7 linked regions of the Nothobranchius furzeri genome follow. The protein of the gene in region 1 binds, or shares a complex with, the protein of each later gene. Links are inferred from orthologs where the notes say so. Each region holds a gene or a part of one and is shown in the gene's direction. Other genes may lie near its edges. The genes, in order: pfdn2, uxt, pdrg1, uri1, polr2eb, pfdn6 and ruvbl1.

Region 1 (4,471 bases):
CTGTGGAAAACAAACTTTTACAAATCCAGTGATCACAAGATGAAGCATTTCAAGTCAGGGATGGTTGCTCCCTGATTCCTGTCTCTGTTATGTTGCATTTTGTACACATTTACTACTCCTCCAGGTGACACAAATCGTGAATATGTGAGAATTTATGCTCCATATTTTTGTTGTTTGCAGAACAAATGCACGTGACAAAATTCTTATAAAATCTAGCAGTGCGTTGTTTGGTTTCAGTACTTATAAACAAACGCACCTGTTTTGCAGCAACGTCGGCAGAGAAGCCAAGTACTTCACAGACGATCTCAAAATGCACCTGGACATTGGTCCCATACAGCGTCACCTGAGGAGTTTAAACCCAGCTGGTGTTATTATAACGTTTGGTTAACCATCGACAATTACATAACGCGAGCAGCCCCTTCTTCTCTGCGATGCAAAAAATGACCAGAAATGTACATATAGCACCCTACTGCCACCTACTGGAGACTTTTTATAACAATATGTGGTAATAACAAAAAAACAAAAATAAATAAATAAAATAAAATAAAACTTTAAATGTAATGAAAAGTCCATTGTTTTAGGATGTGGAATAGTTTTTGAGTTGGCAATGTTTTTATACTCCTAAAATTGTTTTTAAAGTATTATAAATGCATCATAATCATTCAAATATAACACAGGTTTATAAATAACTATCAAAAATACCCTTAAACCAGACTGAATAAATATATTATTTTGCAAAGCAAACGTTTGGTCTAGTTCACTAATAAGATATAAACAGCACGTATACGTCGCATTTCAGTCAACTTTGAAGACATATTGACAATAATATTGTGTGTTTCTCAATTACAACTCTTTTCGTAATCATTCTGATTATTATGGCAAAGTTTTACATTAATAAATTTAAGTTCAGGTGCACTAAACCATGCATTGTTGCTTTTGAAAACAAATTCAAACAACACATTTAATGTGTTCAATCTTCTGAAAACCCCAGAGCAAATAAAAATCTAGAGGTCTGTATGAGGTTAATCCGCTTTCAGCAGTCCTTTACAGCGTTTGAATTATAAAAATAAAAAAATGTCGATAAATGCATTTAAGTGTATTTTTGTATTAAAAATTTACATGTATTTCTTCATTTGTTTTTAATTATTGATTTTAATTTATGTACGGTGTGCTTCTGATTATTGTCTAACATGAAAACTTTTGTTATTTTTGTTCATTTTTGTTTTGCTTTTGATGTTACCTATAGGCTGCTGTAAAGCACATTAAGTTACCTTTGTATAGGAAATGTGCTATACAAATAAAGCTGTCTTGTCTTGTCTTGGCGGTGTGCAAATTAATTAATTTAATGATTAATATGTCCTTTGGCTGAAATAAAGAATATTTGAAAGAGAAAAAACACGTCTAAAACTCCACGATGCAGAAACTGCTTTAATAAATAAGCTAGATTCGGAAAATGGGCTGCATGGTGGCGCAGTTGTTAGCACTGTTGCCTCGCAGCACGAAGGTTGCAGGTTCGAAACTCGGCTGCGGCCTTTCTGCGTGTTGCGTGTTCTCCCCATTCATGCGTGGGTTTCCTCCGGGTACTCCTGTTTCCCCCACAGATCAAAACATGCCCCATACGTTATAAATTGCAAGTCACTTTGGATAAAAGCCTCTGCCAAATAAATAAACATAAACATAAAATAAAAAAGCGTATGCACGAAAAAACAAAAACAATACAAAGTTGATGGAAGTTAATAGAAATTATTCCTTCAAATGCCATTTTATTTTATGTTGAATTAAGTTGTATTTTGTTTGCGGTTCTGCTTCTGAGTTTTTACATGAAAAAGTAAAAGATGGTTGCAAAGTAATTTAGATGTTTTACAAGCCGCATTTGCACTCAGGCAATCTCATTAGATAGCTGCAGGGTCCTAATTGGCAACACCCTTCCAAGATGGCAGCGAACGGTAGCAGCACGGGTAGCAAGTCCAGCAGCAGCGCCGGCGGAAAACAGTCCGGACTTTCAGCTGAACAGGTACTCTCAATTATATAAAAAGGTTTCATTTGTCGTTACAATTATTTCTGTTGTTGTTTGGCTCAGTTTGGTAAAGCAGAACTAAAAGTATAGCCCCTAGCTAGTCTAAGCTAACATTAGCATTCCTGTCGCGATCATCTGGCTCAAAACCCAAATTTGGACATCGGGAACCGTTAGGAGTCTAATAAGGACATTATGAGAGTTTACATCAAACTCTTACTTCTAACAATTTTTACGTTAGTCTATGTATTTACGGTTTTGAAATAATGTGTTTGGTTTGGTGTGACTAAGCATAAAGCTATTTTTGTCCACCTAACCCTAATAAATTATTACTCAGACCATATTAAACAAATCACTGCTGTAATGTCTGTAATACAGTGCACTGTAGTCCGTAATATATCCTTTAACAACAATAATGGCAACATTAGAGTCGAGCAATACCTTCAAATATGTGTCAAAACCTTTATTGATCAGGTTTTACAAAAATAATAATAAAATGTAAATATTGCCATATTGTATCATAACCTTTTTGTTATTTTCTTACATATAAAGTCTATGACTCTGCGTAAATGGTGATTAAAACCATCAAATAAACAAAGTTTATGTCCACTACTTCTAAAAAGTTGTAGATTAAATCTGATAATAAAATTAAACCTTTACCATTAATGAGTTGCTGCATTATGTACATTTATTTAATAATCTTTTAAACAAAATTGTAATATGCTAATTACCAGTTATGACTTTAAGAGTTTGGTTTCAGTAGACAACTAAGGAGTAGCAGCATCTGTTTTTTATTTATTTATTATACTTAATAAAAAAATGATCAAATTCCATTTGTTTTCAGGTGGTAGCAACATTTCAGAGGATGCGTCAGGAGCAGCGTAGTATGGCTTCGAAAGCTGCTGAGCTGGAGATGGATGTCAACGAGCACAGGTTGGTGGAGCATCATCTACATTTATGTTCTAGACACAAATGTTTCACAAGATTTTGTAGGGGAAACAATCCAAAAGACAGACCGTTTAATACCTTTGCTATTTCTTTTCATATTTAGTTTAGTAATTGAGACCCTAAAGGAAGTGGATCCTTCCAGGAAATGCTTTCGTCTGGTTGGAGGAGTGTTGGTGGAAAGGACAGTAAAAGAAGTTCTACCAGCCTTAGAAAACAACAAAGAAAAGGTAATGTTATTTATTTCGGTCACAGGAATGATCAGGAGAATAAACTGAGACATTTTAAATCACTTATTTAACACCAAAATAACAATAAGTGTACATCGAGTTAATCTACATAATTTCACAAGAAAGAGTTTTGTTTATAGGTTTTGAAGTCAAAAATAAACGTTTAGGTGTCAACTGCAGGATGTTTCGTTTGTCTGATTTCTCATCCATCTTCCTCTGTTCTAATAGATTTCCAAAATAATCGAGACCATCAACACACAGATGCAGGCAAAAGGACAGGAGCTCACAGAGTACAGAGAACGTTACAATATCCGGCTGGTTGGAGAGGGTGAAGGAGAGGCGCAGGGCCAGTCGGCAGCAAACTCGCAAGACAATGAAGGAGGAGGATCCAAAAGTGGAGCAGGAGTTCTGGTCTCATAATGCTTTGAGGATGGACAGGGACAGCAGTGCCCTGTTATTTCTGCAGCACTGAAGAAGAAATGAAAACTAGCTCAAGTCAAGGAATTTAGGTGGAAAACTGAACTTTTCATAATGTTCCTTTTAGTTTTCTTGTTTAACTGTAATTTCCTGGAAGTTGTAATAATCATGGTCATCTGCTTCTCTGTTCAGTTGTTTATGTCCTCATTAAGGTCATTTGCCTTGCAGATGTTTTTTAAAATGCTGTCATACATTCAGCAAATAAATTAAAATGCCATAAAAAGGATTTTGAAGTTGCTGACATAAGTAAAAACATTTATCTTTCTCATCTAGCATATAAATCCTGTTGCACTGGGATGAAATTTTTAAAGACATTAAAAAAAAGTTAATGTCAGAATTAGATCCTTTTGCATTGTCATTAAGCATACACAATCGAAATTTATTGGTATGTCAGCTTTGAAAACGCACAAAGCTTTAAAAATGATGTACATTTTTGCGAAAAGGATGTAAAGGACTGAAAAACAACAAATAATTAAACGTGACTCATGAACAGGAGCCAGTACACAAAAGGAAAAATGGAGAAAAGGAAGAGGTTTCTCATGCTCACCAGATTATGTCATTGCGGCAGAGCCTGCCTCAACTCGACAGTACAGTGAGCTCTCACTCGGTTTTTACACTGCACACACTTCCAAAGCTTTACGGAAATAGTGCTTATGAACGCTTTCAAAGTAAAAGCCAGTCTCTGAAACGTGTTTTCAGACTTATTTCAAACGAACCATTCTAGAAAAAAAAATTTGAATCCAAAAGTGATCAACAAAAATTTTTATCACCATTTTAACTGTTTTTTCAAAACAAAGGCATATTG
Region 2 (4,562 bases), on another chromosome or scaffold:
TCTGCAGGTTTTTTTTATCAAAGCAGCTGAAGCTGAGCACCGAGGGTCCACCAGGTGTGGTGCTGTAATGGAACCAGATTTCTGCTCAGACTTAAAACCAACAGCAGATCTGGGCAACCAGGCACTTACCAGCCCCCCAGATCTCTGTGATGCTCCTCCTCGTCTCCTCAGAAGGAGGAATAGAGAACGTAAAATCATGGAAATCTGTTAATTTGGCAAATAGCTTTGTGAGGAATGGCCTGCAGATCAGGTGGATTCAGGACTGTGGTTCTGACACCATCACGAACACCAGTTTGTGGCATTTCAGTAGCATCAGGTCTGACACCTCGCTGTCCTCTGAACTGGGCAGAAGCAGCTGGAGGGACACTCACATACTGGTTGTCCTCAATCTCCTGCAGGGCCTTGATCTCCCTCAGAGCCTGGTTCGGGATGCCGTCTTCCAGCCTCCTCAGAGCCACTTTCTTCAGAGCCACCGTCTCTCCTGTCTGAGAGAAAAGGCACAAGACGAACATTCTGAGGAGGAACTGCTCTGCACCTGGAACCAGACCCAGAGGCTGGATCTTTTGCTATCGGTACCTCAATGTGTTTGGCCTTGAACACAATGCCGTGAGCTCCTTCTCCGATCCGACCCTGGATGCTGTACTGCTCCATGTCTGGGACAAGAACCTGATCCGGTCTGCTGATTTCTGCAGGAAGACCAATTTTTCATCTGATTCCACATTAAAACTTCAAGCTGTAACATTAAACTAAATAAGATATAGGTGACCTCTTTTTGAGAAAGAAAACACCTCCCAGAGCTTCTTTTACCTCCTCCAGCTGACCGACAGGAGCCAGAATTCAGACCGGAAACAAAGCTCCGTGTACAAAAGACGCCGTTTACGATTTTGCGCGTTTCAGTTCAATAAAACACCAACGTTTCTGAAATATTACGGAACGATAACTGAAATAAAGGTCGTAAGTTTTATTCGGGTTCTGAGATTATACATAAATCAGCTCGATTTCAATTGGATCCGAATTTTACAGAGGATGCTAACTCGTGTTGCCATGGTAACGTCACCACTAAGCTAAGTTAGCTCCTATGGCTTAATGAAACCGTCGAAATAATTTCAATTCGAGCAGAAATGTTTCCTGATAGTCGTTCAAGCCTGAAAGCGCGGCGAGGAGATCCGGTTTTCGGGCCTGAAACGTTTGAAAACGTTTTGTTTCAGACAAGAGCTGCGTTAGCTACGGTCACGTGACAACGGAAGTCACGACACAGATCCAAATCAGCTAGAAAAGACTCACATGTCAGTCAGAAGTGAAAATTAAATAAATAAATTATATATATATATATATATATATATATATAAATATATATGTATGGGGTTATGACATGAATGTGTATATAGGTTTTATGGGTTTTACAAATGTGTAATTTGGATGTGTTTTTAGAATTTAGAGATTTTAGTGCCGGCTGCTTCACAATGCTGTCTCGAATTGCCCCTCGGGGACTAATAAAGTTGTCTTGAGTCTTGATATATATATATATATATATATATATATATATATATATATATATATATAATCAGTCTGGAGCGTCTTCGTCTAATGCATCTATCTGTTTTATGTCTACATGCTTTATTTTGAAAATTTGGGGGCACTCAATGATTTAGTTCCGGTGTAAAGAATTATTTACATGCTAGCTTGGCATGCTAGCTGTGCTAACGGCACGTTTTTGTGTCCGAAACGGTTAATTTACATTGAGCAGAAATTCATCTGAACTGAATTAATCCGCATGAAGTTATTATTGTTGTTATTAATCTGAAAAGCTGCATGGAGGAACCTGTCGCTGAAAACGTGGACCGGAAGGTTCTGCAGTACGAAACGTTCATCAACGAGGTTCTGAAGAGAGATTTACGGTACGATTTAACTCGTATAGTTGATTTAGTTTCTCAGCTCTGCTCCTCTGTTTGGTTTTGAATTCTGAGTAGTTTCACAGATCCTGGTTTAGTTAGGGCAGGGTTGGTAGCTCTAGCTTGAAGCAGGTAAATAAAAGTTGGTGCTGGGTTCTGATGAATCTAAGCAGTTTCCGGTTAAGTTTTGATGCGATGTTTATGTCTCTACAGACACGATCATTATAGTACAGGTTAAGTTCTTTAAACGTAAATCATAAAGTTGTATTAAACACATTTGTGACAATCACTATGACCAGTGACTGGTACCTGGTTACCATGGCAGCCCCCCAGAGGGCGGGGTCTATCCGGCTAGAGAAGTTGACGCTTCATCTGAGCGACCAGAACAAAAGTCAAACTGCGGTGGTGAGTCCACAGAGTCGGATGATGTTCTGGTCTGTGGAATCAGAACCAACCAAAAAGATCCAGTGAAGGAGAACCAGAGAGTGGGTCCTGGAGAACCACGGATCCCTGGTGTGGTTCTTATCCAATAGAACAGTCAGAAAATGATTGCAAACTCATTTCAAATACTCTATTTTGACACCTCACACACACACACACACACACACACACACACACACACTGATGAAGGTGTTCTGTTTGACAGGAAGGTGTTGGAGCAGAGAGACCAGGTTTATGAGAAGATCTCCCAGTACCTGCAGCTGAAGAACACGATCCAGAGTCTGCAGGTAGTGTGTGTGTGTGTGTGTGTGTGTGTGTGTGCGTGCGTGCGTGTGTGTGTGTGTGTGTATGTGTGTGTGTGTGTGTGAGAGAGAGAGAGAGAGAGAGATTTTAAGGAGGGAGGCATCACTCTGGGAGGATCATAGGGCCTCCTCTAGGATTTTTTTCAGTTGTTTGAAATATTTTCAGCTAACATCCGCCATGTTTTAATCTCTGGAAACCTTTTAACTGCTGATGAAAATCCAGCGGAGCTGTGTGTTCTGGATCAGGAGTTCTGTTCAGGCCCGATCCAACAACAGACCAGTAACCTGAGCTCTTTAGGCCTCGTGCTGTCAATCAGAAACGCCTGTTTGTTTGTGATAGAATTTTGTGTGTGTGTATATATTTATATATGTTTATATCATGATGATGACGTTGCGGTTATGTCACTCCGTGTTCTTGCAGGAGGCGGAGTCCCAGCAGCTGAAGACAGACGTCGATCTGGGCTGCAGCTTCTATGTTCAGGCTCAAGTGTGAGTGTCTGTCTCTCTAGAGTGTCCAGCTCCTCCCTCCACAGACATTTAACCTCTTTTAGATGTTTGGTTCTGGTTCTGAGCAGTTTGGTTGTGTTTGGTCCCGGTTCTGACCCGTTGTTCCCCTCCTTTGGACAGAGACGACTCGTCCAGGATCTTCGTGGCGGTCGGTTTCGGGTTCTTCGTGGAAATGACCCACGATGAAGCTCTGCAGTTCATCACCAAGAAGACGAGTCAGCTGACAGTGTGAGCTCTGTGTTGCCGTGACAACACAAACTTTTTGTCACACGTCTCATTTTTGTCGAGCTGAGATCTAGTTCTAAATAAAGTTGAGGGAGTTTGAACGAGTGCTGTGTTAGCTCAATGTTCGGAACCAAAGATGCTAACCATGCTAACGCTTGTTTTGCAGCTTCACAGAGCAACTCACTAAAGACGCCGCCAAAATAAAAGCCAACATCCGCATGGTCCTTGAGGTCAGTTATTATGTCTATGATCTGAAGCTCTTTAATATTTGATTTGAGTTTTTCTGCTGAGTGTTTGATCTTCTATAAGTCAAAGCGAGTCAGAGACTCGGTAAGATCTGAAGTAGAGCCGGTCCGGTAGCGTCGAGGTGAGTTGGTGCTGATGGAGAGGGACGTTCTCCTCTAAAATCAGATGTGTTCATCGTGGAACCACGGAGAACCCTGATCCTCCAGATGAGGTGTCTGATTGGCTGCTATCTTCTTCCTCTGCCTTCAGGGTTTGCGGGAGCTGCAGGGACTCACCGACCTTCCCGAGAGCCAAAGAAGAGACGTCTTCTAGACTTTTCCTGGTTCTGGGCAGCAGGTGCTGCTGGGGCTGGACCTCCGGGGGAGGAGGAAACTCCTCTTCCTGGGAGGAGCTTTGTGGACAGCAGGACGAAGGTCTCCTCAGATGTTTGAAGAACATCACAGCAGTCATGAGTCTTTCCTGATTAAAATACTAAACTGAAGTTCATGTATTTTCATTTTTTCATTCATATTTTATTAATAATGAGGTTTTTAGTTTGGATTTGTTTTATTTATGTCAAACTTTAGTTTTTGTGTATATTTTTTATTGGATGTAGTTCTACTTTAGTTCTTTCTGGGATTTATTGTAATAAAATAATATCATATATTTTAGGCTTAAATGGGTAAAAGTTGTTGGTTGTTTATTTGCCAACATTTCATTTCCTGATGAATAAAATCATTCACACATTCTTCTTATAATAAATAATATTTTTAGACCTAAAAAGTGTTATTTGTCTTTTTGAACAAGCTGATTTAGATTTAAAGTGAACTTTTTTTGTTATTTTTAAGATCTTTTCCCGGTGTTATGGTTTATTTGTCTCTCAAAACCAAATATAAACTTTTGAAAGGAATTTGTCGGAATGTTCCTGAGGAACGCTGAGACGTTTAGCGGGTTTGTTGCGTTGGAAGAA
Region 3 (4,455 bases), on another chromosome or scaffold:
AGTTCTGACTAGCCTGGTGCGTGGAGCTGGGGTGTCATTACAGTGTCCTCAGATGAAAAAGCTTGACTTTGATCATTTTTCATATACTGGCCCACCTCTGTTTATTACACTTAAACACACTAAATCATTGGCCCAGTTTTAATATTTACATGAGTAGTCTTAAACTCAAACTTCAAACCATTAAAAGGTTCCCAAACCCTCAAGCATTTCATCTATAAGTGTTACTGTAGCCTAACCTGGTGAGCCAGGCCCATGGGGGACCAGCTGAGGCTCCTGTGGAGCGAGGCTATACCCACAAGCTGGGCTCAGTCTCCTCCACCGGATGTGTACCGGGAAAGTTTGGCTCCAAAAGAAAAGTTATCGCTTCCAAATCAGAACTTATGCTCTTTAAATCAAGAACATTTAAACTGTCACAAGTATAAAAAGTACTTATTTGAGTGTTGCTGCGTTTGAATGAGGAAAATGTGGAAAATTGAAAGTCTGAAAACTGTTTCTGGAATATTTGGGTCCATTTTCAAACCTGGTCAGTTCATTACACCCGTGACCACCGTGCGTGTAATGTTGCTTTTAAGTCCTGTCCATCATGAAACTTGGTTTAAAGGCGTTAATGCTGAGTCCACTCTTATTTTATGTGACAATAACAGATGTTTCTGGAAGGGATTCAGCTGAAGTTTCAGGAACGATGGACTTTTTTCTATTGGTCCAAGGAAAATGATTTGTAATTTGTTTGTTTTGCACAGTAACTTGTACATTTTGACTATAATACACAAAGGTGTGGACTCGAGTCACATGACTTGGACTCGAGTCAGACTTGAGTCATTATTTGAATGACTTCTGACTTGACTTGATAAAATCTATAAAGACTTATGACTTGACTGGACTTGAACACCAGTGACTTGTGACTTGAATCGGCTTGCATCTGTTGACTTGATGATGACTTGAGAATGTTTGATATTTTGTCACAGAAGTGGCACGACATGGACAAAAATCATAAATCATTCTTGGTTCTGGGTTTGATTTACTGCTGAATGCAGCAGCGCTTTGTTTATAACCAGTCTCAGTTTCTGCTTGTTTGAGCAAAAAAAAAGAAGCTTTAAGAAGGTTTTTTTCTGGAATTAATTTATTATCATCGTCATTAAATAGAAGTTGGACAGATGGCTTGATTATCACTTGAAAATTCAAAGTTAAGGACTTGACTTGGACTTGGTTGTCTTTGACTTGGATTTGACTTTAGACTTGAATGGAAAGACTTGTGACTTACTTATGACTTGCAAAGCAGTGACTTGGTCACACCTGCTATACATGAAGAATTTGAGCCCACTTGGACATGCTTTTGAAAATGTTTTTCCTATTTATTTAGTTTATGATGAGAATATTTACAAAAATACAGAAAAACATTTGTATGTGGAGTATGTACAGTCTATGGTCACACCTCTGAAAATACATTTGTGAAAAGCTTCGCGGCGGATGCGGAGGTGACCTCTCTCCAGCAGGGGGCGGTAGTCCACCGTTAGCCCAGAAGAAGAAGACTCAAAGATGGACGACGCTTCTCTGCGTGTTTTGGAGCGCTTGACTGAAGTGGAAGAGGCGGCTGAGGATGTTCTCACCGCCAAACAACAGGTAAACACATCCAGACCCACCGTGGCCAGGCTGGTTCTGTGAGACCCGTAGCGGGTTACAGCTGCTAGCTTCATGCTAACAAGTGTGAGTGGAAGTGACGTACGCGGTGAGACCCGTAGCGGGTTACAGCTGCTAGCTTCATGCTAACAAGTGTGAGTGGATGTGACGTACGCGGTTTTCAGACGCAGTTCTGTGCGTTAGCAGCTTTATGCATGAGGATTTTAGCGGTTGGAGCCAAGAGAGCTAAGTTCTGGTGTTGGTTCAACACTTCATTTACCCGTCACCACACCGATGTTGTCTAGAGTCAAATGTCCTTCTGTAGCTGGTCCAGTCAGGTGGTGCGTTCATGATATCTGAAGAAAACTGTTGTTCTAAAACCACACACACACGCACGGATATCCCAGTTAATAATGTCCTCCCTTAAAACAAACGTGTGTGTGTGTTTCAGATTGTTGACCTGGACATGAAGAGAAACTTCAACAGAGAGGCGCTGAACGCACTGAAACATGAGATGTCGGATAAAGGTTTGTGATCCATCAGCACTCAGGCCACCAGAACACCACAGAGGAACCCTTGTAGCTACAACAACCAAACGTTCCCATAAAGCTGGAACATCCGTCTGTTATTATTGCCTAAAGGAACACGTGTAATCTGTAAATAATCTCAGGCTAATTATGAAACTCGTGGTTGTTTATTGGTGACCCTGGTGATGAAGGAGTAATGGCCGCCTCTGCTGCCGTCCACAGAAAAAGTCAAGGTTTGCTTTGGAAACATGTTCATCAAGTTCTCCAAGTCTAAAACGACGCAGATGATCCGGAAAGGTGATCCTTTATCGTTTACAAGTTAGATCTTCCGTTTTTAACACGAGTCGAATTTAGTCTGAGCCGTTTCTCCAACCTGCAGACCAAGAGCAGCTGGACAAGGAAATAAACCACCTTCGCAAAGAGCTGAGAACTAAAGTCGGTCGTCTCAACGAGATCGAAGGTATGTGTGTTGTGACACATCAGCGGTTCCATCCACCACACTAATGATTCAAGCACCGGTACTACAGACCCTTGTTCACCTCATAGATCCTCACGAAACAGCAGTCTCCGGATCAGAATGGACCTGGAACCATTTCTTCATTTAACATTTATTTTATGGGCACTAAATGAAAGCTAAAGCTTTTTAAAGAGTTTATTATTCTGGTTATTATAATAATAATGATAATAAATGTGACCATTAATTTGGTTGCAGTCTCTCGGACACTTCCTAAACGTTTAGTGTGCTCATTTAGAAAATATTTATCGTTTGTTAGAAAAGCAACACTGGAAACTAATCCTCCAGCTTCATATTGTTTTAATGAGAGGTCCATTTTCATAGCAGGACATTGTTGTTCGTGAACTGCATCCTAGTGAGCACACTTCTCTTCATTATGAGGCACAAACAGTAAGAAACTCTGACTGCAAAGAAAATAATCAGGAACTCGATGAAAAAGCACCGACACTGGGATCCTGGTGTTGGAGGTCTAGACTCGTCAGACCAGGCAACGTTTTCCGGTCCCTTCTGGTGATGCTGTGGGGATTTGAGGCCCAGGTTCCTGTTGTTGGCTGACAGCTGGTGTGGTCTTCTGCTGCTGGAGTCCATCTGGTGCTGGGTTAGGGTTGAGTGTCTGTTTCAGAACTAAAGGTTCTAGTTCAGTGAGCTGTCGGCCCAAAGCACCAGCTGTCTCCCAACAGGTGTTGTGAATCCTTCCGTGTGATAAGTTGTTGGATCTGAGTGGAGAAAGAGTTAGTAGTGATGACCCGTTTTATCACAAAACGCCGCTCTGACACATTTTTCACGCGTTCTTTGGCTTACCGTAACAGTTTTTGTCTTCTGAAACATTCAGGCGGCTTCTGAAAGAGAAGCGTCACAATAATAAATTATTTTCAGTTCCTGCAAGAAGTGGACGGCTCAGCCTCTCCGTCTCACACTCAGACAACGACAGACGACCACAGCTGTAAATAGAAATGACCGTGGTCGGGCCACGAAAAGGACAAAACCCTGGAAAAACGACCAAGTTCCCCGTGTGGTCAGCTCAGTCACTGGGCTCCTGCAGCCCACACACCCAACCCCCCAACTGGGCTCGCCCCGGACCTGTACAATAGTAGACACAACAGATCCCGGGTCAGTCAGGAACGCTGGAAAGGAGATCAGATTTGAGGATCACATGATCACGGTTTTATTTATTTCAGACTTTCACTCCACAGGGGCGTGTGCTGAGCCCCACCTGCACGAACCACTCGTGTGGCTGTTCTGCTAGCACCTGCACCTGAAGCTTATCAGTGATGTTGGTGTTGTTGGTTTGATCTCACACGACGAGCAGCTGGCGTGAGTGATGGCGGTGCCGGAGCTGATGGGTGTTTGGAAAACATTTATTTGTTGTTTGAGTTGATCCTTTGAAGCACCTCATGTTTGTCTGTAGAGTATTTGTTGTTTGTGATATTTTTTCTTTGTTGTTTGCTTGCTTTCAGGAAATCCTGAGCTGAGAGGTTATAATCTGTCTCCTCTATCCTCTGATGAGATGAAAGCTATCACCAGCCTTCTGAAGAGATGAGCAGCTAACTGCTGAGGACGAAAACGCCGACGTGTTAAACCCAGTTTCTGTACAGCTCTGCTCAATAAATCCAGGACAGTAACTGATGTTGTTGAAGCTGAACAAAAATGTTATAGAAATTAGGATTACCGTATTGATTTGTGCTTTAAAACCCTCCAACAAGCCCTCCCTCAAGACGCTTCACAAGCACAAGAAATTAAAAATTCATCCATCTATTTTTGGCCGCTTATCCGGAGTCGGGTCGCGGGGGCAGCAGC
Region 4 (4,515 bases), on another chromosome or scaffold:
TAGCATCAAATACGATTACAATAGAATAGAAATAAGGCTTAGTCACGCTGACAAGGGTCGTGTTGTTCTTTTTCTGTTTTCTGTACTTCTACATTTTCATAATTATACAACTTTATTTGTGGATAATTTCTGTTGGAATCTACATTTATGATAAAAAAAATCTAATTTGTAACTTGTTTTTTTCCCCTTGCAGTCATCTATAATTAACTTTAAACTCAAAATCAAAATTAAATGATTATGGATGAAACATGTACTGATACTTTTGACCCATAAGAGTAGAAATATGAGTTCTCATGATTAGAGGACTAGGACAGTTGGGGTCAGTTTCATTTCTAAAATTGTAAATAAGATTAAAATACATCTGCATGCAAATCCCTTCCCTGACCAAGGTCAATGGGGCTGAAACCTGTTTTTATTTGACTAGCCATGAAACAATAAAGTATTTCTACCATCTTCATTTTCCTGATGGCCTCAGACCTCTTTTTTCTTAAGCTATACCTGTATGCCTCAATAAAAGAACACCTGAGGTATTCACAATCTTTTTACATCCCATAAGCACACCATACATTTTTGCTGTTATTGTAGATGCTGCTTTTATAACCAGACACATTCATGAATGAATGTGTATTCTGATTGTACATTTCCATTTTAAATGTGTACACTTAATAAAAATGAAATAAAAACATAAATACAATAACAAGGTATTTTAATAAAATAAAATTATATATATGTGTGTGTGTGTGTGTGTGTGTGTGTGTGTGTGTGTGTGTGTGTGTGTGTGTGTGTGTGTGTGTGTGTGTGTGTGTGTGTTGAAGAATTTTCTGGTGTGAGACATTCATCTCAAAGTTTAGTGAGTAGTTTTATTTTTTCAAAGCTGTAAAGCTGGTAAAACTGCAAGTAGGAAGGGTGAGGTTCCCATTTTCCCATAAAAACACTAGCTGGTTTAAACTTTTCTAGTTTTATAGTGAGACGATGAGCTTATTGAATGTTTTGTGGTTTAAATGTAGCCCATCATATAAAAAATGAATTAAATATATCTGTATAAGAACAAACTCCATGGAATTATATTATATTATATTATATTATATTATATTATATTATATTATATTATATTATATTATATTATATTATTCCAACAGACCGCTTCTTGAGTGAGTCGTGGCAGATGGCTGCTGATACTGAGCCAGGATCCTCTGGAGGTGTCTTTCCACTGTTTTCTTCTCCACTGTCGCTGCATGCTTGCTTAGTATGAGGAATGATGTACGATGCAATTTGCTGGGTTCCTTATATAGGAAACTTTTTTCTGATTGGCTTAATGAATTGGAATGTTTATGATGTGAAGTGCCTTGAGACGACTCTTGTCGCTATTTAAATAAACTTGAATTGAAGTGTTTTATTTTGGAAATATTAACCGGAAGTCTGCCTGAAACTTCTTCCGTGTTGCTGTAGAGTGCATGGCGCAGCGAAAGTGACGAGGAGAATCTGCTAATCTTTGGGATACCGAAACCGTGGATTTATTTGGGAATAATGCAGAAATTCTGAAGTGAGTGTGTGAGATGAAATCACCTCCGAGAGTGTGGACAACCATCACTGCCCCTTTGATGAATACGTGCAGAACGGGTCTCAGGAATAGCGTCTGCTGGATTCATAAACACTTCTTTAGGACTCACAACAACCCCTGAGCTTTGTTTTTGTGGGTCACAAAACGCACAGATTGACCGTTTTGCATGTGAATTGACGATGACTGAAGGTGGGAAAATGAATTTGGAGCGTCTCGGTGGAGTTGCGAGGCTCCGACAGGAACACGAGAAGGTAAGTTTTGGTGTTTAGGTGGTGGGCAGAACCCGCGAGGCCAGCCGAGCCACGCGGTTGGATCATTTGGGAGTGTTTAAACCACGAGTGGGTCAGCTGAAGAGCTTATTTCTTCTGCGCACAGACGCCTCTGCACGACACTGGTTACGTCACATGTCTCATCTGTGTTTTTAGGTTACCTTTAGCTTCCTTCTAGAAGTTTCTTACGTTCAAATTTAAGCCTGGAGGTGTGTTTGGCTAATTTTGTTTACTTGCACACAAGTTTCACTTGTGTGGAAGTTTTAAGATTTTGCTTTGATTCATTTAGATTATTGTCTAATGCAAATCGGGAAGTCCTATGCCCCCTATAACAACTCAAAAGGTCACCGGAAGTTATTAGAGCTTGACTAAAACTAAAGTTCAGACGTGAGCCAGCTGTTTTGTTGAAGAGAAAGCAAAAGCTTAGCCTTTTATTTTGTTTTTGACAGTTTTTTTTGGGGGGGGGGGGGGGGGAGCATTTGTATTATTTAATAATACAATACTAATAATTATATACATTTAATTTCCCTTTGCCAACACAACTTTATTAACCTATTTATTACAATTGAGGGCGTTTATGAATTGAAAATTCCCAGTAGGAATAAATATATGTATTATCCTGACATCAGATTGTGTTGACCTGAATTTGTAAACAAACTAAAATGATCTGTCCTAAAACAGGTGGTGAAAGACTGTGAAAGTCGGATTCAGCACTGGTAAGCATCCAAAACTCACAAGAATGTCTCTAGAAAAGGTTTGGAATGGTTTTCTACTTTATTCTAATGTAATCCTGAACTATATTACACTGTGATTAAAGTATTTTTTGAAAATGTAATCTGAAAAGGTGTTTTTTCCCTTAACTTTGACACTTAATAGATTTGTGATTTTTTAACTTGTTTTTTGTTCTACCAATTAGATCACCATACACTTTGTTTAGAACAACCATATGACACCCTGATGGCCCAGTTTACTCATGAGATCACTAAACACTTAGAATTTAACAACTGAATGACATCTTGCTGGGCCAGTTTACCCATCAGATCACCATACACTTTTAAAAAACGTATGACACCCAGACTTGTATATTTTTTAAAGCTCTATTGTAGGAATGCAATGATACCACTTTTTTCCAAACCGATACGATACCGATACTTGGATCTGAGTACTCGCCGATGCCGATTACCAATACCGATACTTCTACCACACGAAAAAATGCAATGATTTGGAATACAGATTGTATTTTCTTCTCTGCTTTCAACAGGAGACGACTGTGAGGTAGATAAAAAGTAAAATATATGAATGGAAATCATCACAAAACTAAAATATTAGGTGAACAGAAATGACAAGTTACAGGGAAGCCATTTTCAAGCAACTGCATTGGTATCGGTTCCTGGTATCAGTTAACTTTTACCGATACGATACTGGTACTGGTATCGATACCAGTATCATATCTGTGCATCCCTACTTTATTGTCTAATTTTATTTTTATTTTTTTTAGAGATAAAAGGTGGTAAAATAAAAATAAAAAATTGTGATACACATTTATCAGTCTGTTGGTGTGGATGGTAAAACATGAACACAACTGGAAATAAACTGCAAAACACCAGTGAATGTGCAGCCACTCAGTTATCATTAAAAATATAAATGACTCACTTTTTCTCATACTTTGCTGTCTGTATGCTGAACTGACGGCTGCTAAAGTTAAAGTCAAGTTAAAGTCCCATTAGTTGTCACACACACTGATGTGACCCATCCCCTGGGGGAGCAGTGAGCTGCAGACACAGCTGCGCTCGGGAACCATTTGGTGGTTGAAACCCCCAATCCAACTCCTTAATGCTGAGTGTCAAGCAGGGAGGCATTGGGTCCCATTTTTTTCTAAGTCTTTGGTATGACCCGACCAGGAATCGAACCCTGATCTCCCAGTCTCAGGGTGGACATTCTACCACTAGGCCACTGAGCTGGCTCAGAATGCAGAGGAGGTTTAGATGATCGTGCATAAACTGCATTCATGCTGCTCTGATATGTATGGTGTTCTGTCCGAACACCAGTCCCCAGTACTCCTTAAAGTCCACCAGTTGGTTTTAAGGTTTGGTGTGAATCAGGTTTTAGTTAAAGTTAGTTAGGAATAGATCTGCATTGGTTATCATTACTGTGCAGGTATGGGTTAGGCGTAATGCAGTCACAAAAATGAATGGAAGTCAATGGAAGCCCTCACGAACAAAGAAAGACAAACATGCATTTGTGCTTCTACTGGGGACAACAGCTCTCCAAAATAACTTGAGAAGGATGCTGAGAAGTGATTGAATCCTGGACTTAATGAAAGGACCAGAAGAGTGTGTGTGTGTGTGTGTGTGTGTGTGTGTGTGTGTGTGTGTGTGTGTGTGTGTGTGTGTGTGCACGTCAAGACAGTAGAGCTCTTTACTCAAAGATTAAGTGGGAACAGCGGTGTGGGCTTTGGAGCTCCAGTGTGTCCGCTTTCATCGACTGCAGCGAGTTCCCTTCAGCATTACCCGGGATCACACAGCAGGGGCCTGCAGTTGTTGTTTCAGGTCGGATGGCGGCTCACGTTTCATGAGCAGGCTGAGCTGATTTGCAGCTTCAAGTATTAAATGATGGTAGTCAGTTAAAAAGCAGTTCTGTTTGCATTAAAGATTTATTTTCGATAAATCTCAGATCCAAACCATC
Region 5 (3,296 bases), on another chromosome or scaffold:
GATAGTTTTGTGAGAGGTGCTCTGCAACCTGCTTGAAGGCCGCCTTTTCGATGATTTTAGACAGGAACGGGAGGAGAGAGATAGGTCGGTAGTTCTCCACACGATTTGGAGGAAGGGAGTTGGTTTCTGAGTGTCAGAAGTGCTGAGAATTTTGTCAGTGTAGAAAGCTTTCTTTGCATTAGTGATGCTGGCAGAGAATGAACTTTGTACCGTTTTTAGATCAAATGATAACATTAAGGACAGGAAACCTGATGAAATGGGGTTGTCCAGATGAATATTCATGTCTCCAAGGACCATTGTGGGACAGTCATGCTCAGGAATGGAGGAGAGCAGGGTGTCAAGTTCATCTAGAAAGTCTCCGTGTTGTCCTGGTTGTCGATATATAACAACCATAAAGAATAATTTTCGGTGCAGTTACCCAGATGGCATGGTATTCAAAGGAGATGTACTTAGTTATGGGTAGCAACTGACTGTATTTCCATTTGTTGGAACTTAACATGCCTGTTCCACCACCTCGGCCAGATGCATGAGAAGTGTGGTTGATTGAGAGTGCAGCTGGGTTCATCGTCACCAGGTTTGATCCAGGTCTCAGTGAGAGCCAGGGCATCAAGTGACAGGTGACTGGCATATGCAGTAATGAAGTCTGCTTTGTTTACTGCTGATTGGCTGTTCCACAGTCCCATAGACAGGCAAGTGGTGCTCGCTGCAGAGCCACAAATGTGGAGCTGCACCAGAGTCAGCCCCGCCCATTCCATCAGAGTCAGTCCAATTCCTTCCAGTTGTCAGACTTAATAGCATCCTGGAACCAAAGAGGGTGATATAGCTAATATCATCTAAAATGCAGGATTGAGGACTGAGTTGAGAGGTTAACTGAACCGTTTTTGTAAAGGTTTCCATATAATTAAAAATCTAACTTTTGGAACTTTTTATTATGTTATATTATCATTTCCTCATAAGAAACACGCCAAAGCCATTTTTGGCCTCATTCACACATTTTCCTCCCATCTCAGCTTCAATTTGGTCCTCTCCTCCGAAGCGGGTCTGGTCTTGGTTCTCAAATCTGGATATTCTGTGAATTTTCTGACAAATTATCTCTGAAATGACTTCTACTGAGACACCGCTGAAAAACCATACATCCCATCTACAAAAACACACTGGATGGGACAATTACATGTGATGCCACTAGCTTGTTATCAGATGTAGTGGTGAACTGGTTGTGCAGTCAGCTTGTCATGTAATTTTGCGCAGGTTCACCTCCCGGTAACGGCGCAAACTTTTTTCTTCTTTTCTAGCTACACTTGCCAGTACTATGTTTTTAACCATTTATTGGTATACCGTTTACAATATAATGACTAATGTGTTTGTTTTTCTATTTATTCGTTATTTAGCCAGTGTGAGTCCATTTGTGAGCAGAGCTCCAACTAAAATGCTGTTTAGGAACGACCAAATTCAAAGAACTTTTAGAGATATAAATATTTTGCAGAAAATAAACATTACAACTAAAATATAAACAAATTAAATGTTTCAGCTGGATAAATAGATAGCTGCCGACCCCACCGAGAGTTGAACCTACATCAGCTGAGGGGAAAGCAAAACTTAGGTGTGACGATGTTGCCACTAGATTACCAGGGCTCACCAAACAATTGTCCTTAAATGCTTTTGTAGCCCGGTTCTGTTGGAGCGGCTATGGACAGATATTCGCTAAAAGAAACCTTTTCATTTCGGGATATATTCAGGCTTTGTCACGTAGCAAGTTATATTTATCTTGTTTAATTGGAGCATAGAACGTAGCATTAACATTTGTAAACTAGTAACAGCCGTAATTCATGTGGGTTAGGTTAGTTTGCTACAAAATAAAAAAATAAAAAACAGAAGAAGTCAGTGGGCTAGGCTGTTTGCGTGAGTGGGCGGGGCTGACTCTGGTGCAGCTCCGCCTTTGTGGTTCTGCAGCGAGCACCCTTTCTAGTCAGGTGAGTGTCACCGAGGAGAGCTTGTTATAGGCCCAAGGTAAACACCATTATTATGGAGAAAGAAAAAAGATCATGTAATTTTATCAGTAAAATTGTCTTTATTTGGCTTTCACTGTCCTGTCTAATAAGTTGAAACTGAATTTCCTGACAGTCTTTGGTGGACATGGCACCGAAGTACATACTGGAGCAGTTTCTACAACAGGAGCTGCTTATTAATATCACCGAGCACGAGGTAAAAAGCATATCATGTTCTTTTTTTTGTGTACATACTGAGAATAGTGGGTTTCAGTTTTGTGTCTGAACTTTCAGCTTGTACCTGAGCACATCGTCATGACGAAGGAGGAAGTGACCGAGCTTCTAGCAAGATAGTATCCTTACTGATTTCCTCTTTTTACTATGCTGCAGGTTTTGTGTTGACGCTTGAGGGCTTTTATTTCACATACCTTTGTTTTCTTTAACATGATTACTTCAGTAAACTAAAAGAAAGTCAGTTACCGAGGATTCAGGCTGGAGACCCTGTGGCGCGCTACTTTGGCTTGAAAAGAGGACAGGTAAAGCACCGAGTACTTCCTGTTCACATGTAAGAGTTGTACAGGACCTGTGACCAGTTTTCATTATTACATGTCACATCATGAGTTCTCTAACATCACTTGTATATTATTTGCCACTCATTTACATTTTACACAAACTGCTGGGTTGTCATGGGCACAGTTATTGTCCAAATGCAAACACAAATAGTTTTGAGTTTTCCAACTGTGACCGTGCTTTCATGCAGCCAATAGCCCGGTTCCACACGGCCATGTAAACACCGGCAAAAACCCAGTTGTGCTCATAACCGGGTATTTACAAACCGGGTAATTAACCCTGGAGGTAACCCTTTTCTAACCCAAGTATCAGGTCATGTAAACTCGTATCGGGATAACCCTTTCATAAGGTGCGCATGTTCTATTCACAAGGAATCTTGGTCGTTTGAGTAGATCTGGGGTCGGCAACCTTTTCCCATCAAAGAGCCGTTATTACCCGTTTCCCACAGTAAAGAAAACACTGGGAGCCACAGCCGTGGCGTTGTGTGTGGGCCTACCGGCCCTGCGCAGGTGCCGCTTTTTGACGCGTCTCCTTTTAAAACATGTTTACACTGTTCAGACAACAAATCCAGGCTCTGTCTCGTTGGATTGTCATTAAACTTTCTACAGAACGAAACTTTACATTAAACAATGTGGAAAGGGTAAGAAAAGGATTCAATCAACTTGTTTTTCTCCTTTATTTACAGTGATGGAGGTAACGGCGCAGTGCGCATGGCACTGGTGTTAATCGAGTTTAATTTTT
Region 6 (4,635 bases), on another chromosome or scaffold:
GTTTCATCATCACCCAGTTACCCATCACATTTAGTGAAGTGGACCCAAGCGTTAGCGTGCGTTCTTTCTACCATGCTGCTCTGTTTACAACTCGCTCGCAGCGACCGACGACATAACGCTCTTGCGCATGCGCAGCTGTCTAGCCAAGTTCTCGTTATGAAGGACGGGAACCGAAACGAGGCACCGTTTGAAATGACGTGAATCGGTGCTCGGTCGGTTCTATGGAATTCGGTCGGTACCTTAAAAAGTACCGAATTCGGTACCCATCGCTAGTGGGCATGGCCAGCAACAGCCCATTAGCATTGGTAGAGCCCTCAAACGGCTCATTCTGTGTGGTACTGAAAATGTCAAGAATACAACTTTTAATGAGAGGAATTTGGTGCAAAAAATTGCATGGACCATAGAGCTAATACAACTACAGAATAAACGTTATAATTTGTCCCCAACAGTAACGTGTCTCCTGGCATTTTAAAGCGAACTTAATAACTACTGCAAATGTTTCGAGAACAACTGAATAATGAGATGTTTCAACAAATTAGTGTTTTTCAACCTAAATAAGACAAAGAACCGAGAGATGTTAGTCTCGTCGAACAGAGCTCTGGTGGTTGTCCATCCCTAACTAGTGTATCTGCCGAACTGCCTTATGGGAGTTGAGAGTGTCCCTGTGGAGGGATGTTCCACAGAGCTGAAATCGAACCGGGTCACAAACAGATCCGGTACCGGAGGCTGTAAAGGGAATCTACTCACTTGTTTTTCAGCTCCGAGGACGCGTCCATGTCCTTGAACTCTCCAGCGATGTGAACGATCCCGTAGCAGGTCATCACAAACGATAATAATGTCTGCAGAACGATCTGTGGTGGGAGCAAGACGACGGTGAAGACAAATAAAAAGCAGGGCTCTCTCTGAAGACCAGAGATGGGTTACTCACGTCGATAGGCAGCGTTTCGTGCTCCTTCTCTGTGAGCCGCATGTATGACCGATCTGATGGGAGAGTTGGGATTTAATCAGAGTAATATCGACAATAACTCACAGAATACTCTTAATCCAAACATTAAACGACGGCAGTCACACAGAAGCGAGCAGGTACAGATTAAAGTCTTCCTCCGTTGGAGGCTCTAGCGGAGCTAGCTAAGCTGCTGTGGCCACAGGCCCCGCGGTCCTTCACTCGGTGGAGACTCAGTCCAACCAGAACTAACCAACACAGGAAAACATCGGTCTAACATCTTGGCGCTGAAACTCACGCTGTGCTGCCGAGAACGCTGCGTGGGCCAAGGCAAAGAGTCCGATGCCGACAACACCTTTCCAAAACGAAGAAGCCATCTCGAAGCAGGGCTCAGAGGGACTGTGGGCACCGTCGTAAAACAGTCGTAAACTGACGCAACTGTCACTGCGTCAAAACCAAAACCTACCTGCCAAATGATTATTTATGTTCGTTAAATATTATTATTCGCAGCCTGATATCTGTAAAATCATTTTATTTATGTGTTTTTGCCCTCTATTTAGATTTTTGTGAGCTGAAAATACCCAAAGAAAGCTGTCAGACGTCAAATGGTGCATTCGAATCACATCCTAAATTACATGTTTCTAACCAAACTCATTGATCTCCAACCAATATATTTGATCGAAAATTGAAGATTAGATGTATAACTAGAAAGAGCTTTTCATGGTTTAGTGAGCGTTTGCGTCAAAATAAGTCCAGATACACATAATTTTATTCTGACCTCGATTTAAAACCAGAATATCCGAGTGTGCCCTGAATCTTCCACTACATCCGGTCTCTGCGTAGCTTCTTCCTGTTAGCTAGCGCTGTTCTCTCATGTTGCCTTGCTAAGCGCTCTGTTACAATAATTAAACTTTTACAGTTGTGTAAGATAAAATAAGCAAACATGGCAGACGCCATTCAGAAGAAATTAAAAGCGGAAGTAGAAAAGTATGCACAAATGCAGAAAGGTGGGTTTTCTTTATGTGCTATCACAAGTTTTAGAGGGCATGTAGCCGCTATGTGTGCATGAAGTAACGTTAGCTTTTTGGCCATAAGAATAGTTTTTTAACCCACCTGCGTGTTTTTTCAGATGTTAGCAAGAACATGTCAGCCAGACAGAAACTGGAGACGCAGCTGACAGAGAACAACATTGTTAAAGAGGTAACTTCAGTCCTGTATGGCTGTATATCACAACGGTTTGTGTGTAATAATCCAGACATGACTCGCCTGTGTTTCCAGGAGCTGGATCTGCTCGACAGCTCAAACACCATCTATAAACTTATCGGTCCTGTTTTAGTGAAACAAGATCTGGATGAGGCCAAAGCCACCGTGGCTAAAAGACTGGAGTACATCAACGGGGAAGTGTAAGTCAAGCTGCTGCTTTACTGTTCTACAGCTCACCTGCACACCAATGTCTGTGTCACAGTGGTGAAAGATGGTTAGATTTGATCTTGTTTTTACAATTTCAGGTGGACGAAGCCGGTTAAACCCTGATTTTACTCAGACTCAGGCAGGAATCTTAATGGAAACAAACATAAAATGTAATTCTGAGCAATGCCAGACGCAGAGATGAGATCATCAAATTAATGCGAATATTAAAAAAACAGTTGGCCCTTATCATTTATTGCCATTGACAGCTAAAGACGTCATTTTAAATCCAGTGGCTCGCTGCAATTGACAACTAAAGCTGTCAGTTGCATTGTTTTAACGGGGTGGGCGTGGGATCGAGCCCCCGCACCATGAGAGTAAACATGACGTCTCTAAAGCTGATCTTAGTCCGTGTGTCACACGTCACCTGATCAGGAAGGAGAAAATCCATGAATTGGGATATTGTTTTGGGACGCTGCTGTGAAAAAAGCGAGGCGCTAACCAGAAAAGCGTCTGCAGCTCACACTTGGACAACAGATTGTGAAAGAATGGTTAACGCTAGAAACACGGTGATTCTTCCTGATGTAAAAAGTGAGTCTACTCTTTCTTTCGATAGTTTTGGCGTTTGCATGATCATAGAGCACAACGTTCTGACTCTTCAAAATCAGTAAAAACGCTCAAAAACGCTGGCAGCCAGGGGATTTCTGATCAGAAAACAGCGCAGTGAGTGAGTTAAACAGGATCCACCATAGTTCCTTATTTTCTTGTGGGTTGAAGCTGCTGACAGTCGCTTTTAAAACCATTTATTTAACCAGGAAGTCTCATTTTTAGTTGAACATGAAGGGACTTTCTTAAATTAGCGTGTTTGACATAACCGAATCCTTCACTAAGCGATTCCGGGTTCTAGCATGGCGGTGGTTAGGATGATACGTTTCACCTCTTGAGTGTGCACTGACGGAAGCATATTTTTTGCGTGTCACTTTTCCACTCAAAACGCAGCACTGAAGAGATGAAGTTGGAGAGGAACGGAAAACTTCATCCACAAAGACCAGCAGTTTGTTTTACTGGAGAATTAGACTGGAAAACCGGCATTCCCAGTTAGAACCAGAGAGGAATGTTTCAGTAAATCTGAGTAAATACCTGCTGCTGGAATTAAATGAATCAAATACAAAATCAGAAAATACAAAAAAAAACAATCGAATCCAGAATTATAATAGTTTTACTAATTTTGCTTGTTATTCTCATCATTACATATTTCCAGAGATTGTGAGTTAATTAAAATTAAAAAACACAAATTCCATATTTCTGACTGTGAGGATTATGTATTTTGATACTCGACACCCAATGTGTCACATATTAAAATATGCTGACTAATCCCAGCTGTCAGCCGAACGAAGGATTAATTGTATTGGACACAGAGACAATCGCATATTTAAACCTGGAAACAAACAAACAAAAAAATTTGAAAAATACAAAAGCAATGAGACAAATGAAAAACCTGCTAAACTTTGGAGAAGCCATGGCGCTCACACCGCCTTCACACTGGCTCAGCAGGAGCAGGAACACCTCCCGTTCAGGTTCAGTTATCCTGGTTATTCCTCCTCTCCTCCTAATCCTCAACCTCCATCTTTGAGAGTGGAGCTTGAAAAATCAGAAAAATGTGACGGCTGGATCGAATCAACAACAAAAATAATTTTCCTACAAGGCATTCTGTTTCGGACACACAATCATTTATGTTGAAACGTACCTTAAAGGGATACGATGTAAAGTTTTCATATTTTTAATCATTTTCTTGAGTAAGTATGTGCTAGAATGACCCTTAAAGGAGTCATCACCCGTTACTACCGTGGATATCTACATCACATTATATTATTTAGGCCATGAAAGTCATTTGTATTGGAAAATTAATTAAAAAAGTGCTTTTCTGACCCTTTTTTGTAAAGGACAGGTTTTCTCACAAGAGCACACGCGATATTTCGGCTGTGCTGGGCGTGTCATTTGGAACCGTAGGGTGTCCATGAAAGATCCCGCCTTTCTCGCCTCTGATTGGCTAGAAGGACTCAACTACGATTGGCTATTTTATTTAGCAGCAAACTGGCTTCCCGGCCAGTGAAAATTCATTAGGAAGACATTATATGGATTTTTTTCAAGTGGAAAGGTGAAAACTTCAGGTGATGACTCCTTCAGCAGGGTTACAGAAATGTAACTCAGACCCCCGCAGCCCTCTGTGGCCAGAATATCACGCTTGCAACTTCAGAGTGCTGGACTTAGAAAAAATGGAGCTG
Region 7 (4,777 bases), on another chromosome or scaffold:
AGTGTAAAGAGCTAGAGGGTTGAAACTGGAGCTGCAGTTCACTTGGTTGTCTTGCTTTTTACTCTTTTCTTTTCCTGAATTTGGCAGTCTCTCTTTCCTGTGCACTTCCCACTTGGGACTGAAGGGGAAGTTTAATACATACCCCAATCTACTCTCTTTTCTTCCTCCCTAATCTACAGCATGTGCAAGTCCACTGGCTACTGGGTTTGTTTACAATGTTGGCTACACTGTGTAGTGTTTAATACCCTGCATAGCCATAACAATCTCTGTGTTTGTGCTAACCATCATAAAACTGTGAGCTTCACAGGTAATTTGCATGAAAAAAATTACATTTCTAGAATTAACAAGACGTGACCCCGGGTTTCTTTGATTTGGTGGCACAAACATGCTTAAAAAGCTAAACGATTCAGCTAAACGCTTCCACCCGTGTTCACTTATATCCTAGAAAATGCGCTTTACCAATTGCAAATCATCTCATGACCCCTTGTGTACTTCTTGGTGACCTGCAGTGGGGTCCCGACCCCAAATTTGGGAACCACTATAAGGGGTCTCCAAACTGCAGCATCTCTTCCCCATCAATTGTTTTCATGGTTGTTTTGCAGAAAGATTGCGCCCTCTGCTGGACGATTGCAGCAAAATAAACTAATTTTAACGTTGCAATAAAACTTTATTTAATTATTTTTGTCTGATTGTGGCTGTATAAAAATAGTCAAATTTTACAATTTGGTGACTTTGTTCATTTAGCACAGTTTTGTGCTGGTTTTGTATTCTTTTATGGCCAGTTTAAGTTATTTAAGCAATATAAATGTATTTACAGAAAATTTCTGGCACTCTAGATTAAGTCTGGGAGCATTCACACATTTATTGTTAATGTATTTCATTGTATTTTTGTCCACCACTTTTTAAGAGCCCACCTCCTATGATAGTCCGAATGAGAGAAGCGTGACCCGGACAATCCACCAGGGTGAACTGAAGGCTGTCATACGGCTGCTGCCCTCCGCTTTCCCGCAGATGTTCAGGAAAATCCACCGTGAACGATGAGAAGCCGAGGTCCAGAGTGATGCCCCTCTCTCGGGACTGCGGGTTCTTGTCAAAGGCCGCCGTGGAGGCTGTGCTGCTCAGTGCTCTGGCGAGCGACGTCTTGCCGCTGTCGACATGTCCAAGCACCCCGACATTAAAGTTTAGCGTCTTGGCCCGGCTGTCAGGTGGCGACTCAGACATTTCTCAATAATCTGCTGAAGTTTTGTCGATAGCATGCGTATTTTCCTGAATTTTGAGCTTGAATTTGAACTCAACACGCAGCGTCACTTGTTGTTTATACGCGGTTCGTTGTTTTTGTTAAAACTAAAAGTTTGTTTTACAAGTTAGTAGTTTACTAAATGTTTTAGCTACAAAAAGGACTTAACAAGAATCGTGGTCCCTGGTATCAGTGTTATTGATCGTCAGGACTACAAACTAAAGCGGAACCCTTTCAGTAGCAAGCAAGAACAAAGAGAAATTTTGAAGTTTTTTCAGTTACTGTTTCTATAATTATAGAATAACTGAATGTGTGAATAACGTGTTATTTACTGTTTCGCGTAAGATAAATGAAACACATTTATTTGGATTTTGTCAATTTCTTGTTGTTTCTTGTACGACAAATTAAACAAAACACAACCGGAAGTGTGCAAAAATGATTGACACCTAAGTAAGCCAATTGAATCTTTACATAATTTCACAACATCCAATTATTTTCTAGACCACTGTAAAATAGGCGGAACCTCAGGGTATCATTTCCGCTTACTTTCCTTAGTAACCCGCATGGAAACAGATTTCTCTGTGTTTTGAGTTTCGGCGCCGATTACAGTAGTGAGGAATTAGCTTAAGTAAAAGCGAGTTTTAAAGCGTCTTTAGAGTAGGTCGTGGTATTTACATTACTCATTGATATAAATAACACAGCTATGAAAATCGAGGAGGTAAAAAGTACCACAAAAACTCAAAGGATCGCCTCGCATAGTCACGTCAAAGGACTCGGGCTCGACGAGGCCGGGAATGCTAAATCTACAGCATGTGGACTGGTGGGCCAGGAGGCTGCTAGAGAGGTACTGTCAAGTGCACTGCGTCGCCGTTAGTAGTCTATGTTTGAAATTAATTATCTTATAGTTATTTGTGATAGATTATTTAGCTCACTGTTGACAGTTTAATACGCCGTAAGCTAAAGCTGTTAGCAGCGATCACACTTTTTCATCCATTCATTAATTTCATTGATCAAATTTGAATTCTGTAATTTCCTTATTTTCGATCCTTATAGATTTTTTTTCATAAATGCATGACTTATTTCCTCAGCTGAACAGGTAGAAGTTACATAGATCTTTTTGCAGAGAAAGGCTTATGATTAGTGCATCATATCCCACATGAATGTTCCAGCATGTTTATATACATCATGTAGTATTCTCAGGGACGAAATTTTGATTTCAGAAGTGGGGGGGACACAGCAGGCTTGTGCGGATTTGGGGTGGGGGTGTTATGTAAAGACCCTTTGACACGTCACATGCCCATCTCAATAATTTTTCCATCCTCAATATATATATATATATATATATATATATATATATATATCAAAGTTAAAAAATGTACAACTCTATTATCATTAATATTTATTATCATTATTGAAGTGCAGTTTTGGCTGTTGACAATGGATAGGCCATTGTATTTATTGTTTTGGGTCTTTTTTTATTGTTTTTGGTGCAACATTTTCTAACAGGGAGTGAGATTCTTTTTTTTATTTAATTTTTGTTTGTTATTTTTATTCATTTAGAAGTTCTGGTTCTGGACATTTCAATGTTAAATGAAGGTTTATTTGTTGCATTTTAAAGGGTGTACTTGCATTATTATGATATATTAACATTATATTAGTGGTTATTTTGGTCTAGATAATGTTGACAATGATATCGTTTATCATCAACAATTTGTTGGACAAAATATCGTCCAGCAAAATTTGTTACTTTCCCAGGCCTAGTCAAAAGTATAAAAAGTATTTATACATAAACGGTCCCTCCTGAGATCTGGCCATTATTTCATTTGCTGTGTTAGAGGACATGCTGAACTAATGTTTTACACATGATCATCACCCTAACATTTGTCACAATGATCAATTTTATGTCTATCGTATCTTCATTATTTCAACCTCACCTGTGAGCCTCCAGCCTCTGCTCCATCTCCTCCAGGCTCTCGTCCTCCATCTCCTACAGCCTCTCCTGCTGTACCTTCACCGGTCTCTCCTCCTGCATCTCTGTCACTCACCTGAAAAAAAGATGCATGAACTATAAACAGTGGGAGATTTTGGAATGGAACAAACAGAAATATTTACAGGATGGTTCTAGTATGATTCACAATTATTATTAATATAATGTGTAAATTATTCATTACCAATTTGAGTGTATAAAAACATATTAAATATGTTTTTTCCCTTAAAAGTGTTTAAACAGTTGTTGCATTTCAACACACAAAAAATAAATGGAAAAAATAAGATAAATCTAATGAAAAGAGTACATCTTTGACATTAAGCTTAAAAAATCTGTTGACGATGATGATACTGTTCATTTTTCAGAGCTTTTTAATGTGAACATATACATTGCAATAGATAAGTTTACAACAAAGTTAAATGATAAAAGTTTTGAAGTTACACTTCTACTACTACTACTACTACTAGTAATAATAATCATGATAATAGTAATAATAATAATAAATAATAATAATTATAATAATACGAATAAATTGTGTCTGAGGAGTCAGTTATGTGGAGGAGATTAGTTTGTAAAAGTTAGTTTTGAGTATGTTTGTGAAGGAGGAGGTGAGTCTGAGCTTAATGCAGGGGTGTCACATGTTCCAACTTACGTTTTGACTTTGAAAGAAGTCTCTTATATCCACTTTCGTTTCTTGACATGCTGCCGCCTGGCTGTGCATAACTACCAAAGACTCACAAATGAACACTTATTCAAATGTTATATAATGGAAGCTGAGCTGAGCTCTGATATTACACAGCGTCTAGTTGACGATGTGACTCAGTACCGGTGTTCCCTAGCGGCTCCAAACTAGCAAAACAACGTGAGCACGTTCTGTTTACAACTTGAGTGACAGCAGCAACAGCCAATAATACGTTAGCAAGTATCAGCAGAGCCAATAGATTAGCTTTTGGGTGGGTCTAATAGGAAACCGGTTTCCGTTTCGGTCCTAGTGCTCAATCAAATCCATTTAATGGAGCGTAATATTGGTTTTGGACGGAAAAAAGTGAAGGGGACCGAAACTGCCTTTTGAAAAAGTGGGGGGGACATGTCCCACCCGTCCCCCCCCCAAAATTACGTCCCAGAGTATTCTAATATAATTTTGTGTTGGTAAAAAGCAAAGATCAGGATATTCTAGCACCGACAGCCACGACTTGTTTTTAATAACAAATACCACAGTTTTTAAAAGCGTTGTAGCATTTTGTAATTTCATTTATATCTTAATTAAAAACTAATAAAATGTCAGATCAAATTTAATAATAATACATTTAAAAAAGAAATACCATTGTTTGCAACATTTTCTTCTTTGAAATTTGATGCATTAAATAGGTTATGTTAGATAAGTTTGCACCACCTTTGCAACAGTAAGTAAATAAATGTTTTTAGGATTATTCAAATTTTTATTTCCGGTTTTTCTTTATGAAAGGTTTCAGCTGGTAAAAAATGTATGCATTTTTTGTTTTTGTTGTATTCATTTGTTTTGGGTTGTTTCACTGTACACTACATAATTGTAG

What was found.
Region 2: pfdn2 (region 1) and uxt share a complex: the UniProt entries of both Homo sapiens proteins name them as parts of the PAQosome complex. The link is inferred for Nothobranchius furzeri from reciprocal best matches to the Homo sapiens genes PFDN2 and UXT.
Region 3: pfdn2 (region 1) and pdrg1 share a complex: the UniProt entries of both Homo sapiens proteins name them as parts of the PAQosome complex. The link is inferred for Nothobranchius furzeri from reciprocal best matches to the Homo sapiens genes PFDN2 and PDRG1.
Region 4: pfdn2 (region 1) and uri1 share a complex: the UniProt entries of both Homo sapiens proteins name them as parts of the PAQosome complex. The link is inferred for Nothobranchius furzeri from reciprocal best matches to the Homo sapiens genes PFDN2 and URI1.
Region 5: pfdn2 (region 1) and polr2eb share a complex: the UniProt entries of both Homo sapiens proteins name them as parts of the PAQosome complex. The link is inferred for Nothobranchius furzeri from reciprocal best matches to the Homo sapiens genes PFDN2 and POLR2E.
Region 6: pfdn2 (region 1) and pfdn6 share a complex: the UniProt entries of both Homo sapiens proteins name them as parts of the PAQosome complex. The link is inferred for Nothobranchius furzeri from reciprocal best matches to the Homo sapiens genes PFDN2 and PFDN6.
Region 7: pfdn2 (region 1) and ruvbl1 share a complex: the UniProt entries of both Homo sapiens proteins name them as parts of the PAQosome complex. The link is inferred for Nothobranchius furzeri from reciprocal best matches to the Homo sapiens genes PFDN2 and RUVBL1.

What each region holds. Positions count from the first base shown.
Region 1 is NC_091742.1:74,820,493-74,824,963, forward strand, and holds pfdn2 (prefoldin subunit 2), read left to right. Parts: upstream 1-1,711; 5' UTR 1,712-1,933; coding exon 1,934-2,014; intron 2,015-2,858; coding exon 2,859-2,947; intron 2,948-3,065; coding exon 3,066-3,189; intron 3,190-3,417; coding exon 3,418-3,609; 3' UTR 3,610-3,892; downstream 3,893-4,471. Other genes in the region: nit1 (deaminated glutathione amidase), read right to left, coding at 257-333. UniProt on the Homo sapiens protein: Binds specifically to cytosolic chaperonin (c-CPN) and transfers target proteins to it. Binds to nascent polypeptide chain and promotes folding in an environment in which there are many competing pathways for nonnative proteins.
Region 2 is NC_091755.1:47,134,497-47,139,058, forward strand, and holds uxt (protein UXT), read left to right. Parts: upstream 1-1,634; 5' UTR 1,635-1,812; coding exon 1,813-1,898; intron 1,899-2,201; exon of another isoform or gene 2,202-2,224; intron 2,225-2,538; coding exon 2,539-2,620; intron 2,621-3,056; coding exon 3,057-3,124; intron 3,125-3,262; coding exon 3,263-3,370; intron 3,371-3,533; coding exon 3,534-3,597; intron 3,598-3,862; coding exon 3,863-3,925; 3' UTR 3,926-4,094; downstream 4,095-4,562. Other genes in the region: cdk20 (cyclin-dependent kinase 20), read right to left, coding at 372-485, 577-651. UniProt on the Homo sapiens protein: Involved in gene transcription regulation. Acts in concert with the corepressor URI1 to regulate androgen receptor AR-mediated transcription. Together with URI1, associates with chromatin to the NKX3-1 promoter region.
Region 3 is NC_091743.1:5,381,253-5,385,707, forward strand, and holds pdrg1 (p53 and DNA damage-regulated protein 1), read left to right. Parts: upstream 1-1,465; 5' UTR 1,466-1,536; coding exon 1,537-1,620; intron 1,621-1,759; exon of another isoform or gene 1,760-1,928; coding exon of another isoform or gene 1,929-1,958; intron 1,959-2,068; coding exon 2,069-2,144; intron 2,145-2,366; coding exon 2,367-2,441; intron 2,442-2,523; coding exon 2,524-2,604; intron 2,605-4,115; coding exon 4,116-4,198; 3' UTR 4,199-4,280; downstream 4,281-4,455. UniProt on the Homo sapiens protein: May play a role in chaperone-mediated protein folding.
Region 4 is NC_091744.1:78,623,929-78,628,443, reverse strand, and holds the start of uri1 (unconventional prefoldin RPB5 interactor 1), read left to right. Parts: upstream 1-1,456; 5' UTR 1,457-1,740; coding exon 1,741-1,812; intron 1,813-2,511; coding exon 2,512-2,546; intron 2,547-4,515. UniProt on the Homo sapiens protein: Involved in gene transcription regulation. Acts as a transcriptional repressor in concert with the corepressor UXT to regulate androgen receptor (AR) transcription.
Region 5 is NC_091748.1:48,498,296-48,501,591, forward strand, and holds part of polr2eb (DNA-directed RNA polymerases I, II, and III subunit RPABC1), read left to right. Parts: intron 1-2,121; coding exon 2,122-2,202; intron 2,203-2,279; coding exon 2,280-2,338; intron 2,339-2,442; coding exon 2,443-2,521; intron 2,522-3,296. UniProt on the Homo sapiens protein: DNA-dependent RNA polymerase catalyzes the transcription of DNA into RNA using the four ribonucleoside triphosphates as substrates.
Region 6 is NC_091741.1:28,885,056-28,889,690, reverse strand, and holds the start of pfdn6 (prefoldin subunit 6), read left to right. Parts: upstream 1-1,764; 5' UTR 1,765-1,886; coding exon 1,887-1,950; intron 1,951-2,072; coding exon 2,073-2,143; intron 2,144-2,221; coding exon 2,222-2,346; intron 2,347-4,635. Other genes in the region: mmgt1 (ER membrane protein complex subunit 5), read right to left, coding at 748-851, 929-981, 1,242-1,320. UniProt on the Homo sapiens protein: Binds specifically to cytosolic chaperonin (c-CPN) and transfers target proteins to it. Binds to nascent polypeptide chain and promotes folding in an environment in which there are many competing pathways for nonnative proteins.
Region 7 is NC_091743.1:48,428,493-48,433,269, forward strand, and holds the start of ruvbl1 (ruvB-like 1), read left to right. Parts: upstream 1-1,806; 5' UTR 1,807-1,940; coding exon 1,941-2,081; intron 2,082-4,777. Other genes in the region: eefsec (selenocysteine-specific elongation factor), read right to left, coding at 915-1,221. UniProt on the Homo sapiens protein: Possesses single-stranded DNA-stimulated ATPase and ATP-dependent DNA helicase (3' to 5') activity; hexamerization is thought to be critical for ATP hydrolysis and adjacent subunits in the ring-like structure contribute to the ATPase activity.